Saccharomyces cerevisiae S288C: one gene and its partners. Changing the gene in region 4 together with the main gene of any one other region gives a genetic interaction. Each region holds a gene or a part of one and is shown on either strand. Other genes may lie near its edges.

The links.
Region 1: mutations in UPS2 (region 4) and FMP30 together harm fitness more than expected from each alone (negative genetic interaction), as found in Saccharomyces cerevisiae (3 studies listed by BioGRID, with this or other methods).
Region 2: mutations in UPS2 (region 4) and CBP4 together harm fitness more than expected from each alone (negative genetic interaction), as found in Saccharomyces cerevisiae (2 studies listed by BioGRID).
Region 3: mutations in UPS2 (region 4) and PBS2 together harm fitness less than expected from each alone (positive genetic interaction), as found in Saccharomyces cerevisiae (2 studies listed by BioGRID).

The regions. Positions count from the first base shown.
Region 1 is NC_001148.4:357,500-361,698, forward strand, and holds FMP30 (N-acetylphosphatidylethanolamine-hydrolyzing phospholipase D), read right to left. Parts: upstream 1,908-4,199; coding exon 501-1,907; downstream 1-500. Other genes in the region: aspartate--tRNA ligase MSD1, read left to right, coding at 1-177; Elongator subunit ELP4, read left to right, coding at 2,710-4,080. UniProt on the Saccharomyces cerevisiae protein: Hydrolyzes N-acyl-phosphatidylethanolamines (NAPEs) to produce N-acylethanolamines (NAEs).
Region 2 is NC_001139.9:844,624-848,801, reverse strand, and holds CBP4 (Cbp4p), read left to right. Parts: upstream 1-2,396; coding exon 2,397-2,909; downstream 2,910-4,178. Other genes in the region: ERG1 (squalene monooxygenase), read left to right, coding at 379-1,869; YGR174W-A (uncharacterized protein), read right to left, coding at 2,061-2,147; RBG2 (Rbg2p), read right to left, coding at 3,842-4,178.
Region 3 is NC_001142.9:176,688-182,532, forward strand, and holds PBS2 (mitogen-activated protein kinase kinase PBS2), read right to left. Parts: upstream 3,417-5,845; coding exon 1,410-3,416; downstream 1-1,409. Other genes in the region: TRK1 (Trk1p), read right to left, coding at 1-619; MCO6 (Mco6p), read right to left, coding at 4,864-5,022; SPT10 (Spt10p), read right to left, coding at 5,611-5,845. UniProt on the Saccharomyces cerevisiae protein: Kinase involved in a signal transduction pathway that is activated by changes in the osmolarity of the extracellular environment. Activates the MAP kinase HOG1 by concomitant phosphorylation at 'Thr-174' and 'Tyr-176'.
Region 4 is NC_001144.5:498,292-501,831, forward strand, and holds UPS2 (Ups2p), read right to left. Parts: upstream 1,980-3,540; coding exon 1,287-1,979; downstream 1-1,286. Other genes in the region: ubiquitin-40S ribosomal protein eS31 RPS31 fusion protein, read left to right, coding at 656-1,114; APS1 (Aps1p), read right to left, coding at 2,288-2,758; DPH5 (diphthine synthase), read right to left, coding at 2,969-3,540. UniProt on the Saccharomyces cerevisiae protein: Required for mitochondrial cristae morphogenesis and MGM1-processing. Controls the stability of mitochondrial phosphatidylethanolamine (PE). With UPS1, controls the level of cardiolipin in mitochondria.

The DNA of each region.
Region 1 (4,199 bases), on a different chromosome or scaffold from region 4:
TTTGCTATTGGTTTTGATCGTATGTGCGCTATGATCTGTGAAACTGAGAGTATAAGGGACGTAATCGCCTTCCCAAAAAGTATTACCGGGGCTGATTTGGTTGTCAAGAGTCCAAGTGTGATACCTGAAAGCATTCTGGAACCTTACAATATCAAGTATAGTAATTCAAAAAAATGAGCAGAAGTTGATGTTACCTAGATGTGAGAGAATCTTAGTGTGGCTGCAGTATGTAGGTTTTTCTTGTAAATATTATACCTATTTTGTTTGCCTTGTATATGAAGAGATGAAATAACAAATCGATATCCATTACTTGAATTGATTTTTTATCAACATTAATTGTAATTTCTTTATAACATCTTATTGGATATCATACGAATGTTTTTAAATTACAAAATCATTAAATCATAAAATGTTCAGTGAGTACAATCTCCCAAAGTCTACGTTTACTGTAATTTATCGCTATTTACAGGGACGCTGCAGCTTAAATATTAGCGCCTAAGTTAGTCGAAGCATTCTGTCTTGCCCAATTCTGGACAGTAGCAGCGGTCTTTAAACCCACCCCACTCGGCCAACATTTCTAATTTTTCCTTTGGCTCTAAGAAATATTCTCCGCTTAATACAAAGGTCCCCCAATGAACGCCTAATACATTTCGAGCTTCTAGATCTTTCATAATCTTGAGAACCTCTTGAGGATTAATATGTCGTGGTTTTTGGTGCCACTCAGGGCAATACTGACCACATGGAAGCAGCGCTAATTTACAACCTTTGCCAAAGCGTTCTTTAATTCTAACGAATAAATCTTTCACATATCCAGTGTCACCAGCATGAAAAAGTATGGGATTACCATGGTGTGTTAATAAAAAGGAGCACCATAGAGACTTGTTCGTATCTAAGAGCGATCTCCCAGACCAATGCATGGCAGGAGTAGCCGATATGTGGTATATCTCATTGTTTTTCTTTACTTGCAAAGTTTCCCACCAAGATAATTCTAGGACATTATCACAGCCGTTACTTGTCATATAAGATTTCATTCCTTTAGGTACTATCCATAAGGGAGAGTCTTTGCCACTCCAGTATTCCAAGCTTTCTAAATCCAGGTGATCGGGGTGATTATGGGATACAAGGATGATATCTGGTTTGGGCACCTCTGTAATTTGAGATGGCATTTGAGTAATTCTTTTAGGACCCAGGGTCTTGTGGATAAGAAAGTCACTGAACAGAGGATCAGTAAGTATCCTCAATCCATTATAAACCGTGTAGTTACAGGACTGGCCCAGCCATGTGTTATAGACTGGGCACTTTGATCCTTCATTTTCTTCTACTGCAGTCGGTATGTGCAATTCGTCTAACACTTTGCATTCTAGCGGCAATGCCGTTTCCTCTGCGGGGTCGACGTCCACTAAGTTAGGCCCCCATGTTGGCTTGTGTACAGGCATTAACTTATTCATTTGGTGTACATCACGTGGAATACCTCCCCTATTTCTTTCAAATAATTCGAACACTCTATTTGCAAAGAATTCAAAAACGGTCTGAATCCTGTATTCTTCGAACGGGTTCTCAAATCTGCCTAAAACTTCCAAAGGGCTATATTTTAGCAAGGATCCCTTATAAGTGACCTCGTTATTATTCTCCTCTAATCTTTGACACATTTCGTTTCTTAAATCAATTTGCTTCACTGTAGCCAATGATACATAAAACGCATATCCTGTGTAAGGTACCAAAACAGACAACAGAAGTATACGTGCGTATTTTCTCGAGCATTTTTGTATAGGGCGTGTCTTTTGCGAAGCATGTCTTTTGAAAGTTGACAATGATGTCTGGGGTCTAAACAGCTCTGATTCTCGTAAACGCACTAGTCTCCTTTGGAGAAGAAGCCTCATCTGAACATGGCAGGTAACAAAATTCATTTGCAACACAAGCAGGCATGCAATCCTTCAGTAATTGGAGTGCTACTGTTCACACCATATTCTCGCTATTCTCGAACTACGTTTTTTTTTTTTTGTTAAGCATCAGTAGTGAGTCTTCGGGAACTGCTTAACGACAGTAAAGGAAAAAAAAAACTAGCAGCTGTTGATAATATTCAGAAAATGAACGCAGAAGGAATCATTAGCTAAAAAGTTTATTATTAAAATCAGACATATATCTCATTATAATATTTTTTTTTTATAATACCACCATTTGTTCTCATATAATACTGATAAATATCGCATCGAATGGAAAAGACAAATAGGAGGCCGCTATTGTAATTTGGGCCTTAACCTATTTATTCTCTCTCTTTTAATTGATATTTTAATCTTTTTGAAGCCTACAATGTATTTTGGGCGATAATCAAGGAGAATATCAGTGTCATATACTCACTGTGGTAAATGTATTTCTAAAGTAGTTCCAATTCTTTCTTCAAAAAAGGCCACTAGACGATGTGCTTTCTTGCACAAGCATTTTGCTGGGCTATCTTCAATAGTGATAATTCTAACTAACTCAAAACCAGATGGCAAGTTCTTCCCTATGGTCGACTTCTCTCAGACGCAATAGTAGCTATGTTATTGATGGCTTTTGACGCCAGACCGGGTAAAGCGCATGGAATGAACTCTAAACTGTTAAAATAACAAAAACGACATATGAAGATGTCGATGAGGCTGGATAGTTTAGAGATGAGGTGCAGAGAACAACATTGTATAACAAATTCGGCTCCCAAATATCGCATGTACCATGTCATTTCGTAAAAGAGGTGAAATACTGAACGATAGAGGTAGCGGGCTAAGAGGTCCACTGTTAAGAGGTCCTCCACGAACTTCCTCAACGCCATTGAGGACAGGCAACAGAAGAGCCCCTGGAAATGTGCCCTTGTCTGACACTACAGCGAGATTAAAGAAGTTGAATATTGCGGACGAATCCAAGACAAAAATGGGGCTGGATAGCTCCCATGTGGGCGTTAGACCTTCTCCTGCAACCTCTCAGCCGACGACATCAACTGGGAGTGCTGACCTGGACAGTATACTAGGCCATATGGGGCTGCCGCTGGGAAACTCTGTACTAGTAGAGGAGCAGAGCACGACAGAATTTCACTCTATTCTCGGTAAACTGTTTGCCGCACAGGGTATCGTTCATAATAGAATTTCAGATAGCAGTGCTGATAAAACTAGAAACGGCGACACTCATGTCATTGTCTTGTCATTGAACCAAATGTTTGCAAAGGAGCTACCTGGTATCTACAAGGGATCACGTAAACAAATGAAGAAAAACCTAATCTCTGAAGAAGAATCAAAAGTTACTGTTCAAAATTTGAACGAGACCCAGAGATCGACGCCTTCCAGGTACAAAGACCTGAAAATTGCATGGAAATATAAACTGGCAGATGAAAAGAGATTGGGTTCTCCGGATCGAGATGACATCCAACAAAATTCTGAGTACAAGGACTACAATCATCAGTTTGATATTACAACGCGTCTGATGCCCGCTCCCATAGCATCTGAACTGACATTTATCGCCCCAACTCAACCTGTCTCCACTATTTTGAGCCAAATAGAACAGACTATTAAAAGGAATGACAAGAAACTGATAAGAATTGTTATTCCTTCCCTTCTACATCCGGCAATGTATCCGCCCAAAATGTTTGAATCATCTGAAATAATAGGTTTAATGCACGGTGTGAGGAGTCTTGTCAAGAAATACTATGAGCGGGTTGTACTGTTTGCTTCCATATCCATAGACATTATCACTCCCCCATTACTGGTATTGCTGAGAAACATGTTCGATTCTGTTATCAATCTAGAACCCTTTAACCAGGAGATGACTGAGTTCTTAGAACGTGTTTATAAATCGCAACCGGGGAAGATTCAACATGGGCTAGTCCACATATTGAAATTACCAGTTTTCACGGACCGTGGAGAGATGAGAGTTTTAAAGTCTGAATGGGCATTTAAGAATGGCAGAAAAAAGTTTGAAATAGAACAATGGGGCATACCCGTGGATGATGCTGAAGGTTCAGCTGCCTCGGAACAGTCACATTCACACTCGCACTCGGATGAAATCTCACATAATATACCTGCAAAGAAGACCAAGATATCTTTAGACTATTAAGAATATGGTTCAATTTATGGGAAATATACGGCATGCTTTTTAACAAGCGTGGTGAATGTATTATTTTTTTATCTGTTATATCTTAAATACGACTATTATATATATATCCATCGTCTTTT
Region 2 (4,178 bases), on a different chromosome or scaffold from region 4:
ATAGCTCGGCCGAGCTCGTACAAAAGGCAAGCAGTGTATCGGACAGAGCTGATATAACACAATACGCTCGTAGTCGATGCATGCCGTGGCTGCTCTCGGTCGGGTATAAGTCTTAGACAATAGTCTTACCTCGCATGTATAATAAATCTTTTGTATTTAATCTATTATATGTTTCTATGCTTTTTTTTCCTATTGTTGTTTGCTTTTCCTTTTCCTTATTTCTTTCTAGCTTCTAATTTTCTTTCTTTTTTTTTTTTTTTTCATTGAAAATTATATATATATATATATATCAGAACAATTGTCCAGTATTGAACAATACAGGTTATTTCGAACAATTGAAAAAAAAAAATCACAGAAAAACATATCGAGAAAAGGGTCATGTCTGCTGTTAACGTTGCACCTGAATTGATTAATGCCGACAACACAATTACCTACGATGCGATTGTCATCGGTGCTGGTGTTATCGGTCCATGTGTTGCTACTGGTCTAGCAAGAAAGGGTAAGAAAGTTCTTATCGTAGAACGTGACTGGGCTATGCCTGATAGAATTGTTGGTGAATTGATGCAACCAGGTGGTGTTAGAGCATTGAGAAGTCTGGGTATGATTCAATCTATCAACAACATCGAAGCATATCCTGTTACCGGTTATACCGTCTTTTTCAACGGCGAACAAGTTGATATTCCATACCCTTACAAGGCCGATATCCCTAAAGTTGAAAAATTGAAGGACTTGGTCAAAGATGGTAATGACAAGGTCTTGGAAGACAGCACTATTCACATCAAGGATTACGAAGATGATGAAAGAGAAAGGGGTGTTGCTTTTGTTCATGGTAGATTCTTGAACAACTTGAGAAACATTACTGCTCAAGAGCCAAATGTTACTAGAGTGCAAGGTAACTGTATTGAGATATTGAAGGATGAAAAGAATGAGGTTGTTGGTGCCAAGGTTGACATTGATGGCCGTGGCAAGGTGGAATTCAAAGCCCACTTGACATTTATCTGTGACGGTATCTTTTCACGTTTCAGAAAGGAATTGCACCCAGACCATGTTCCAACTGTCGGTTCTTCGTTTGTCGGTATGTCTTTGTTCAATGCTAAGAATCCTGCTCCTATGCACGGTCACGTTATTCTTGGTAGTGATCATATGCCAATCTTGGTTTACCAAATCAGTCCAGAAGAAACAAGAATCCTTTGTGCTTACAACTCTCCAAAGGTCCCAGCTGATATCAAGAGTTGGATGATTAAGGATGTCCAACCTTTCATTCCAAAGAGTCTACGTCCTTCATTTGATGAAGCCGTCAGCCAAGGTAAATTTAGAGCTATGCCAAACTCCTACTTGCCAGCTAGACAAAACGACGTCACTGGTATGTGTGTTATCGGTGACGCTCTAAATATGAGACATCCATTGACTGGTGGTGGTATGACTGTCGGTTTGCATGATGTTGTCTTGTTGATTAAGAAAATAGGTGACCTAGACTTCAGCGACCGTGAAAAGGTTTTGGATGAATTACTAGACTACCATTTCGAAAGAAAGAGTTACGATTCCGTTATTAACGTTTTGTCAGTGGCTTTGTATTCTTTGTTCGCTGCTGACAGCGATAACTTGAAGGCATTACAAAAAGGTTGTTTCAAATATTTCCAAAGAGGTGGCGATTGTGTCAACAAACCCGTTGAATTTCTGTCTGGTGTCTTGCCAAAGCCTTTGCAATTGACCAGGGTTTTCTTCGCTGTCGCTTTTTACACCATTTACTTGAACATGGAAGAACGTGGTTTCTTGGGATTACCAATGGCTTTATTGGAAGGTATTATGATTTTGATCACAGCTATTAGAGTATTCACCCCATTTTTGTTTGGTGAGTTGATTGGTTAACTACAGCTTATAAGGGAGAGAGGATAGGAACCGTCAAACATTAAGCTGCACCTTTTTTTTTTATTACAGAAGTCGGCTTGGAAGGCTTGTATAGTACATTACGATAAACACATCTTATTTTTATTTATTACTTATTTATTTTACATATTTTCAAAAAAATTCACATATCATTTATTATTAACCGAAGTGTTTTATACTTTTTGTTCTTTCCTTAAAAATGCCTCCAACAGAAAAGGAAAAATGGCTTGATATGCTTCAAAATATGCATTGAGATTCATATTCGGTTATCAATTAACGATATTACTTCCTTAAGTGATATTAAATCAAGCTTGCCGGATTCTGCAGTCAGAATTATACATAATAGTATTTGTGCTCTCGTAAATCCTTTCAGAATTACACCATAGTAGTCTTTGTGAATGTTCTACTTATTAGAATAGATTATTGCTAGTTTATCTCACTTTTCATTCCCCATATCCCTTTTTTTGCTCATCCCCCGGGGTATTTTATCAAGATAAAATTTTATATACATGCAGTGCGCGATAACTCCTAGAGAGGCAGTAATAGCAAAACAAAGACAGTATAAGCATTATTTGGGTATGGAAAGACCATTGTGGGTACGTTGGTTGAAAGTCTATGCAATTGGTGGCGCTATTATTGGAAGCGGGTTTCTGCTTTTCAAGTACACAACGCCAACAGATCAACAGTTAATCAGCCAGCTTTCCCCAGAATTACGTTTACAATATGAGAGGGAGAAAAAACTACGTCAGTCGGAGCAGCAGGCTTTGATGAAAATTGTTAAGGAAACTTCTCAAAGTGACGATCCAATTTGGAAGACGGGCCCCCTTCAATCACCTTGGGAAAGGAACGGTGATAACGTTCAAAGCAGAGATCACTTTGCTAAGGTGAGGGCGGAGGAGGTGCAAAAAGAAGAGTTGGCTAGGATCAGAAATGAACTGTCTCAGCTAAGATCTGAAACGGAGGAGAAAACAAAGGAAATAGTCCAGGATAAGCAGGTTAAAAGCTGGTGGCGCTTCTGGTAGATGGGTCGGGTCACTCAATTAGGAAGGGCAGCTTGAACTTTTGCATCCTAAAACATACGTCTGTGTCATTTATGATATATTATTTATTTGTACACTGTAAATAGGTTTAAAAATATAACTTCATACTTATTTTTAGCTATTTTAGTTCCCATACTTGGGGATGGAAAAAACATTGCGCAAGCCCGGAATCGAACCGGGGGCCCAACGATGGCAACGTTGGATTTTACCACTAAACCACTTGCGCTTGTTATTTATATGAGATTATTGCATCATGCAATGGGGTAATGTCAAGGTTCTTGACAATCCTAATATAAACAGTCTTAGGGAAGTAACCAGTTGTCAAAACGGTTTATCAGCTTGATTCACGGGATCTTACTTATCCTATATATTATATAAAATATGGATCATACTAAATGGTGGAAGCGCGGAATCTTGGATCTAAACCAATTGTTCAGATACTTATACGTTAGAGTAGGTTAGCTAAGGAAGGCAGAGTTTTATTTTCATGTTGCTCATTCTGTTCGTTTTGCTGTAAGGTTGTTTCATATGTGTTTTATGAACGTTTAGGATGATGTATTGTCATACTGAGGTATCCCATTCTGAGATACAACAGAGAAGGTTCCTTTATACTTACTACACTAGGTACCACTATTATAATTTCGAGATTTCATTGTCATTCGGGTTTATTTATTCATTTGAAGCCCAGAATGACAATTTTTATGAACGGAGCTCTTCAAATTACATTATAAAAGTATATACGAATATACCATGAAAGTAACACCTTCCGGTTCTCACTAAAAAACCTATTTTCAGCATTTATTTCTACTACAAGGAAAATGAGTCCGTTTAGTCATGCAAAATCTCTGCTCCGTACTACAGTTCTCGATGCTGATCTTGTTTTTTCATGTTTCTTTAAAATCTATTCATTTATACTATTTCGCGAATAAAGAAACTACATCTTCATCATCAATCCTGTGGTTTAAGCCGCACTTCTGAGGAGAATGTTTGGCAGAAGAACCCCAAACCAATGCGTATTTGAACTTATCTTTGAAATCCCTGTGGATACCATGACATAAGTCACCAATAGTGGAATTATTTCTTACCACTAGAGGATCATCAAATACTGGTCTAACACCTCTCTTCTTTGTATACACACGACTCAAGTTCAGCTGGTACCAAATTTCTTCAACGACGTCTTGTAATCCCAAATCCATTTCACAGGACATAACAACGGTGTTTGGCTCTCTGGCAAGTTTATCCACCTCTTCT
Region 3 (5,845 bases), on a different chromosome or scaffold from region 4:
GAACTGAGTCCTGCTCATCTCTATTAACCATTTCTCCGCTGAACAATTTTTCTTGGAAATCATCTGTTTTAGCTTGTTTCCTAGGATAAGACGTTCTTTGGGTACCTGTTCTATTCTTGGTCATGGTTCTTGCTGTTAGTTCCCTTTCTAAGATTGTTTTCGTTCTTCTCATCTTAAAATTTCGTCTAGAAGAGTCTCTAATACCATCGAAGTAGCGCTCAAACCAGTAAAGCCGTACAAATGCCAAGCAACTATGAACTGCAATTGGTGTTGATATGCAGCATACGATATACAGAACAATTTGTTGGTATAAGCTTAGATTGTTGATATCCACAGTATTTAAGCCACCTTGTGTAACTGCGCCCGCTGCTAAAAACAATGTATCAATGTATCTGGTATTCTTAATGGGATATAGCAGGATTGAAGTTATTAATGTCAGGGATATCGTGTAGAAGTAGTGAACCGCGATAAAACTGGGGAAGATATATTTTTTAACTGGAGCAAAATAGTGACCACATAGAGCAATAAAATCACGAAATTTATGGCCGAAAGATTTTTTATATCGTATTTCAAGAGATGCCAATGTGGGCACTCTACTCATCGTTCTTCTAAAATGCATTGTTAGTTATCAAAAAAAGGTAATAACTTTAAGTAAAATGGATAGGAATGACTTCCTTGAGAGCCAATAGAATACCCTCCTTCTTTTTAAGGCAATACAAGTGTGGAATCAGTGATGCTAATGGTAAGGTAAAAACAATGGGCGAAAGGAAAGCAACAGTAACAAAAAGTTTCTAATAATGTAAGAGCTCTTTATCTTGATAGGTAATTATTTACTGTTTTCCGTGAAAGTAGCAAAATTTAGAAGTTAGGGTAAGATACAGGTATAGTTCCTGGTCCAGACTCCACATCTACTCTCAATAACGTGGATTTGAACTTTCAAAACACCTTTTATTTTCTCGATGATTTTGGACTTTTTTTTCTTTCCTAGCCTTGAGCCGTAAAGAGCGGAAAAACCATCAGACAATTCCAGAGCATTTTTTCTTTCTTGCGTTGTCAGCCCCGAACGTAAATAATTTCGAGGAGTCGATGGCCGTAGCAATAATCGAATAACACAATATATTGACGTCCACATCGCTTCACTTGCCGGTGCTTGAAATAACATCCCCTCAATACTCTGTCATAATTCGTGCCCTTTTTTAGGTTCGACAAAAGGAAGTCAGACGATATATATATATGAATATATATATATATATATGTCTATAACGAGTATAATGCAAGTTTATTACAATAAACATATGTATATGTAAGGTTTTTTTGTATTCGCCGCATCATTTCCACAGTAGCTTTTCGTCTGCTTTTTTTTTGTTGTTATATTCACGTGCCTGTTTGCTTTTATTTGGATATTAACGCTATAAACCACCCATATGTAATGCCGGTACATTTTTAGATAAACCATTCTCACCACGTTCCCGTAAGATTTTGTTGCGCCTTTCTAATCGTTCAGTGATATACTCACTCATGTGGACATCCTGGTTTCTGTATTTTACTAACCAAGGATGCTCTGTTAAAGCTGCGTATGTAGGTCTTCTTTCCGGAATCTTTTGTAGACATAAAGAAACAAAATCTTGTGCGTCAGAACTGAATTTATCTGAAGGTAATCTCGGTGGCGGCCCATCAACAATAGCGCTCAATTGAGAGAAAATGTTGTCGTATGTTTCTGGTGGATACGGATATCTACCTAGTGCCATTTCCAGAATGCTTAAACCTAAAGACCAGATGTCTGACTGTACGGTATAGGTGGCTCTATCTGGATTCAACGATTTGATTCGTTCAGGTGCCATGTATGACTGACAACCAATATTAGTCTTCGCTAAAGATGCCACCAAATTACCAGAAACACCGAAATCGCACAGCTTTACGGTGCCTTGGTTGGCTGAACATAAAATATTTGTTGGTTTGACATCTCTGTGTATGATATTATGCTGCTCTTTGAGTTCTTTTAGTCCATGAATGACAGCATTGGCAATAAACGCTAGCTGAGGTTCATCAATGCCGCCGATTTCAGATGATTCGTCGTATATTTTATCCAAGGAACCACCATCCATGTATTCCATACACATGTAGACGGCGCCCTCAATAAAGAATGCACCATAAAAATCCACAATATAGGGAGAATTGCATTTATGCAAAACTTCTAGTTCCATTAAAATTTGTCTAAATTTAGCCTCATCTAGCTCCAAACGGACTTCCTTCGTCGCCATAATAACATTTGTGGGCTTATGCAGTACCTTTGAGACGTTACCATAGTTACCATGACCCAGTTCATCCAAAAATTCTAGTTCGTCCAATGTAATTCTCGAACTAGAACCATTGCTGAAATCTATTCCTTTAGAGGATAGCGATAGTTTGCCTGCAAAATTCAAAGAGCCGGATTTGATATCCACGTATTTCGAGAAATTTGCGAAAAGACCACCACCACCACTACTACCAGAATTTGAAGAGTTGTTGCTGTTTCCAGTTCTGGGTGTAGTGCCTACAGTGTCATGTGGGCCTTCGGTACTTGATGAGGTGGATGTGCTTTGCACACCATTTATCAAAGAACCCGGATTCGATCTTTTCCCTTCAACAACTTTGCTGTTTGATAAGGTTTCTATATGTTTTTTGTTTGAAGGGCTTGGGGCAAACTGCTGCGGCTGTTGAGCTGTTTTAGTGGGCATTTTTAATGACATTCCTCCTGGTGGTAATTTGAGCCCTCGACGGGCACTTAAACTTTGTTTTGGTGTGTTGATTATAGCAGGGGCCTTATGCGGGGCAACATTTGGTCTTGTAGGGTGCTGGGTAGAAAGCGGCCTTCTTGGTGCCCTTCTGTTAGGATTCAGCAATTGCGCCTTATGTGTTGCTGATGCAGTATTAGAAACTGACGGCGTAATGTCAGTAGCAGGTAGGCCAGTATTTACACCAATTGTTGTGGCGGTAATTTTGGTTGTATCGATGTTAATATTTACGTCGGTAATGTTTTGTGTTTCTTGATTGTCCAGAACGTTCTTAAGAGTGCTCTTGGAGGACGCTTGCACGACTTGGCTACTCATTCTTTGTGAAACCTTAGAACTTCCTGCTACGGGAAGAGGCGGCAATGGCTTATTAACAATCTGCTGAATATGTTTAGGTGATTGTGAACTGCCTTTGTCTTGCTCGCTTTGATTACTGCCCACGCTGGCAGACCTTTTCAATGCACGTTGTTCTTGAAAAGCTTTTACACGAGCATGAAGGTCAGCGTTGATGTTATTGTAGTGCGAGGACGTCGAAGATGTTCTCTTGACAGCAGAGCCATTATCTGAGCCTGTTTGCTCGTTTAATTGGATAGATGACTTACCAGTTTTCTCATGGAGACTGAGGTTAGCAAACTTGTCTTCCATCTTTGAGAAATTAACGTCTCGATCTGCTTAATATAATAATGTATCTATAGAAATGTACGGAAAAACGGGTACTTTATCAGTTTTAGTTGTATGACGTTGATGTCTGGAGAAGGACAAGGAAAAAGTAGTTCTGTGAAACGTGTACCCACAATAGCAGCTACCCTTGTCTTCTTTTTTAGTAATTCTTTTCTTCCGGCAAGCAGGTAAGCAGTTATCTCTGTGTCCAGATCCCTTTGAAGTAAAGTTTATTCAATTTTCTATAGAACGTGTATGGCTCACGAAATCGCTCACTAGTAGACAACACACGTTAGAAAGATCCTTTCAGGTGCAACGGGACGCAGAGGGAAAAAACTGGAAAAATTGCCACTAATGAAAAGGCAAATAGAGGATGAAAAAGAAAAGGTAAATGCAGATGAAAGGACGAAGACAGATGCGATAAGAACAGCGTTTGAGATCGGATGCAAAGGATATAGTTTTGCTCTGGCACTGTGTTAGTGTGCTTGTGGGTGCTTTTTCTTCTATTTGCAAGAAAATGTGACCTTTGCGGATAACCTATATAAGACGGGGTTTCCTTGCTTTGAAAAGTTTAAAACAGATATTCTTGCAGATACAGGAGTACATACTTGTGCGATCATCACCAAGATAACAAGAGATTAATCAAATATAGAAACAGATATATAAAATAGATACAGAGTGCTACGCAATAAGATTTTTTTTTCCTGTTGCAATACTATACTACGTCTTGACATGAACTCTCAACAGTGATATTTCTGGGGAGTTGTATCGATGTGTAGTAACTGGTAGTAGTCTAGTAATGAGTTGTTCTCATGTTAGTGAATATTCTGTATGCTTCCGTGCCTGCTGCTATGCTCAAGGGGAACAGAAAAGCAACACGCTCAAAATAGTAATCTACATGAGAAACAAGACTTAGTCATTGCCTTTTGCCAGAATTGGCTTCGGCCGTAGCTGTTGAAGTTAATCCCGCAGTAAAAGACAAACGGCTCCGTATTCAGCAGTTCTATATATCACCTCATTAAGACACAGACGATCTTGACAGTTGCAGCAGAAACACGCCACCATATGTTCTTGTAGCTACACCACGATTGAGTGTCTGCACTCTTATTCAAGTGTTTCAACTAAAAATAAGTCTAAGCTGAAAGATTATTACTTTCATTTGATTTTTTTATTTTTGAAGCCCCATTTCCTTAAATCGTTCTCGTGGACGAGATTAAAAATAGAAATGATGTAGAGGAGATGCACTAAACATTGCCTCCCTGCACCGCACAATTACTGTAGCCATTGTGCTTATTTATATCTACCTATATATCTAAGCAGCTATATCATGGGCTTGACATACGCGACTTCTGCTTGCTTTTGTGCTCTCGTTCAAAGAGCAATTACTTCATTCCATCTCAAGAAGGACTGTTGCAGGTCATTATTTCATTTCTTACTGCACGTATTTCGATTGAGCTGCTAATGAAATCACAACACAACTACCCAAATAGCCTAAGAATTGGAAAAAGGCCCTTCTTGATAATTGGATCTGTTGAGTTGGCGTATGCAAAGCTGTAAATATTGAACGGATCTGGTTGAAAAAGAAAATCATGCTTTCTTTATTGTCGCGTAAACTGTACACTGCTGCAATTATCTAGCTGGCTGCTAGTAGCAATGTGCTCTTCGTTACGCTACCGTAGCTTTTCTCCGTGAGTGACTGATTTTGCTGCTGTACATTTAACTCCTTTTCTATTTAAATTGTGCGCTGCCATTTTCCGCATCGGAAAACCTAAGACAAATTTTGATGAGTATACTTGGTACGTGCCCACGCAGCCAATAGTGTCTCGTTCACGGCATCAGATACAGCAGTACTTAAAAGGGCACTGAGGATCAGGTTTCCTAATCTGGAAAATTTTGCAGCACAAAGCTTAGTTATTTATCTCCGATTATGGATTTCTGCAGTACCTAGGTTTCAACGTAAAACTGTAACAGAACCTTTCGTCATGCAAGCATAATTGAGTTGAGTGCCTTGTTTCCAATTTCAGTTTCCAATTTTACTTCAAAAATCACTTCTGAAATAAGATTTAAGACTTGTCAACCCTGTTCCAAAAGTGGACGCATCATTAAATGTACCTTTTTTCTGTACAAACTTTATAGTTTCTAGGGTTGGTGATGTGACCGTCTCTGGCAGAGTCGCAATTTAATAATAAATATTAGAATTGTGCTCTGTAAATGTATTAGATTCGTTGTTAACAATCTTAGTGACTGAATTCTCATTACCTTCACTGTTGTTCAAATCGATTTGTTGGCCAGTCACATCTTCACCTCGATGATTTATCTTCTGTTGTTGTTCCTTTTGGACCATTTCTAGAGCGGCCATGACGTTATCTTCGAGGCTCAACATAGCATCGTTCATTATAGTATGGTCATTTCTA
Region 4 (3,540 bases):
AGTTTTATTCAGACGCACTCATTATCTTTGCTACATAACATTTCTCTCTGATTTGACTGCGCATCTTACCCCTCCCCCATGCATGTGGAGTCATAGGAGTAATTTTAAAGGTAGAATTTCATATTAAATATCGCTGCTTGATTATTTTGTAGCAAATCAAAAGAGTGTTTCAAGTAAGTAAAAACATTTGAGCCTCCCCATTTGTTGAAAGGAGAGAAATTAAACTTGGTTGGGGTTAATTATTTGATGGGTATATTAATTTGCAACCGCAAGGTATCGATAATAAATATTCTACAAAACCTTTATCAATAGTGGTGAAGTCTTTAGTGCGATCTACCTGGGGTTAATGAACGAGAAGTTCTTGAGATATCTTTCCTGTTTACCTCCGTGCATCCTGTAAGGAATTGGGTTTATCATTTATCATTTATTTTAGTACAAACTTTTTTTTTTGGCCCGGGCGCACTTTTTCAAGCGGTGGGAACTCATCAAAATGAAAAACTAGATACTTTTAGACTTATTAAATGGTTTAAATATTTTGAGATGTTCGTTATATCAGAAACTTCCTTACTTCTATCTTTTATTCCAATACAAAGAAGTCACAAGATTACTTGGTAAGAAAGAAGCAGTTAATTTTTAATTTTGCCGACAAGCCAAGATGCAAATTTTCGTCAAGACTTTAACCGGTAAGACTATTACCCTGGAAGTTGAATCTTCTGACACTATTGACAATGTCAAGTCCAAGATCCAAGACAAGGAAGGTATTCCACCTGACCAACAAAGATTGATCTTTGCTGGTAAGCAATTGGAAGATGGTAGAACTTTGTCCGACTACAACATCCAAAAGGAATCTACTCTACACTTGGTCTTGAGATTGAGAGGTGGTGGTAAGAAGAGAAAGAAGAAGGTCTACACCACCCCAAAGAAGATCAAGCACAAGCACAAGAAGGTCAAGTTGGCTGTCTTGTCCTACTACAAGGTCGATGCTGAAGGTAAGGTTACCAAATTGAGAAGAGAATGTAGCAACCCAACTTGTGGTGCTGGTGTTTTCTTGGCTAACCACAAGGACAGATTGTACTGTGGTAAGTGTCATTCCGTCTACAAGGTTAACGCTTAAGTAAAGTATTTTTAAAACTTATATATTTTAATTGATCGTTAAATTTTGAAAAAGGCTTTTAATATTGTCATTATTTACTTTTCTATTTACAACAAAAGAACAAATGAATAGATAGACAGTAGAGGAATATAAGTAGTATGCAGTGCCATGCGGGATCAAGGAATTTGTATCTCTAATTTTCGTGGTTGTATGCGTCTCTAAACAAGTCAATATTTTGCTGTAAGATGGTTCTGCCGCTCCTTTCAGTTCCTTTAAGAAGCGTACCTGCAGATATTTTAACATCCTCCATGGTTTCATTGACTTTACTGACAAGTTGATTGCTCAAGTCATCAACATGTTTTTCCCAATTTTCACTAAATACTTGCAAAACAGCATCGAATCCCATTTTACCCTTTTTAGCGTTCTCGCAAAACCTTTGAACTGACCAATCTTCCATCTTATTACACAGCTTTCTAATGGATCCATATGCTGTAATTTGGGCTTCCTGCTGGAAAAGTGTTTTATTAGCCGAGTCATCGGGATGCGGGCTATATGTTACAGTTTCGTAGACTTTTAATAGATTGCACATCGTTAAATTACAGCTTCTCATGGTCAAGCTCTTTTTATTTAAGTCTACCACAGAAACTTCTCTGACATGACTCATATTGGTCCCTCCTAGCATCATCATGATCCATTTGGGAACACCTTGTTTTACAGTAATCAACCGTTCAGTAACTAAGACCTTACCTTGATCCTTCAATTCTCTTCTTAAAACGTCCACTGCGATGACATGTGTAGATATTTCATTTGGGTATTTTTTCCAGTTAGCGGCGGTTACCTGGTCCCATGGATAGTTGAAATCGTAACTGTTTTGAAACAATTTCATTATCGTCTTTTAATTATTCTCGATTATTTTATCTTAGTCTGAAATCTATTCTTTCGTCCTATTGATGCTTAAATTCAAAAATATGTACATCACTTCGCATGATAATTTTATCGCCTATATATTCTTTACATTTTTCACATTCATTCCTTTTTACCGCTCTGACCAATCAACGTTGTGCCGATGCTCGCAAAAGATATTTTTGTCCGGGCAACGGCTTTTGCGACAGACGGTAATAATAGTAGGGCCCCTTGCCCCCTTCTCATCTTATTCTTCTCCTTTCTTCTTCATTCCATTGTTTTTTAGTGGTCCTAACTCAATACCCTTTCAAGATTATCGTTGCTCTCCATGGTGTCCATCACGGTCACATGGTGCAGTACTTCCTTCCTACTGCTCTCTGCGATGGAGCCATCGCACATAATCATCTCATTCAAGATATCGTAGACCTTACTGAAGTTAAATATAATGTCTAGCTCACAAACATTGCCGAAATATGTGTCCATTGTTTCGACAAACCGATGGATAATTTCCAAGGTCAGCAGTTCATTGTCAACATCGGGCGTCATCCCAACAATAAAATATAGACTAGCATATCGCTTGTATACTACTTTGTGGTCATTATACTCGATGATGTTACACATTTTGGGTTTTCTTGCTAATATCGTAGGTGTCAAGTCTTTCACAATTTTTGCCTTTTCACCAGCGGACATTGCCGTGTACCATTTCTTTAATCTGATTTTTCCTTGCCTAGAAACCAGCAACAAATATTTTAATTGCGTCATCTTGTGTACCTGTGTATCCGTATATAATCTCCTCCAGGATCGCTCTTGTTCTTGGCTGAAATTGTTGTTATAACTTCTTGTTCATTCATTGCCATTTTTACACATATCGTTAGGGCCCGATTCGTTTGGGATCGAATTGTTACCCGACTGAAAGGATCTATTCAATATACATTATAAAAAAGAAACTACACATGAGCGTGTGCATTACCTTTACTCGTCGCTGTCGTCTTCTGTGGGTGGGACCCATGCCGCAGGTTTGAAGTACTCTTGGTCATTTGCCACATCTTTCCCAAACTTTTCTTTGTCGTCGGCAAACTCTAGCAGGTATTCCAGCTCCAATTCATGACATTGTCTGCCGAGGATGACAAGCGAATGAAGTGGCTCTCCTGAATCGTAATTGGCTAACTCACTTATGGTACCAGACTTAAAGCTTTGGGAGCTCGAGCCTAATCTACTAATTGCGACTGCTGGAGTATCAGGAGTGTATGCCTTTGTACCTCTTTTCTCTTCAATTTCTAATAATTGTTCACAACATTGAGCGATAGACATGTATCTTGGTGGTTCGTAGATTAGTCTGCCACGGGCCATATTTTCAATGCTTTGTTCCTTAACTTTGATGTCCAATAACACTAAAGTATGAAGGCCAATTTTTCTATTTTCCCAGATCTTGTCGTACCATGAGTCTGGTCTCCAATTATCGGTAAAGAAAACCATGGAAACGGTTTGACCGAAATTGTATAGTTGTAGGCCACATGCCCCAACTGCATTCATAACGGACGCAT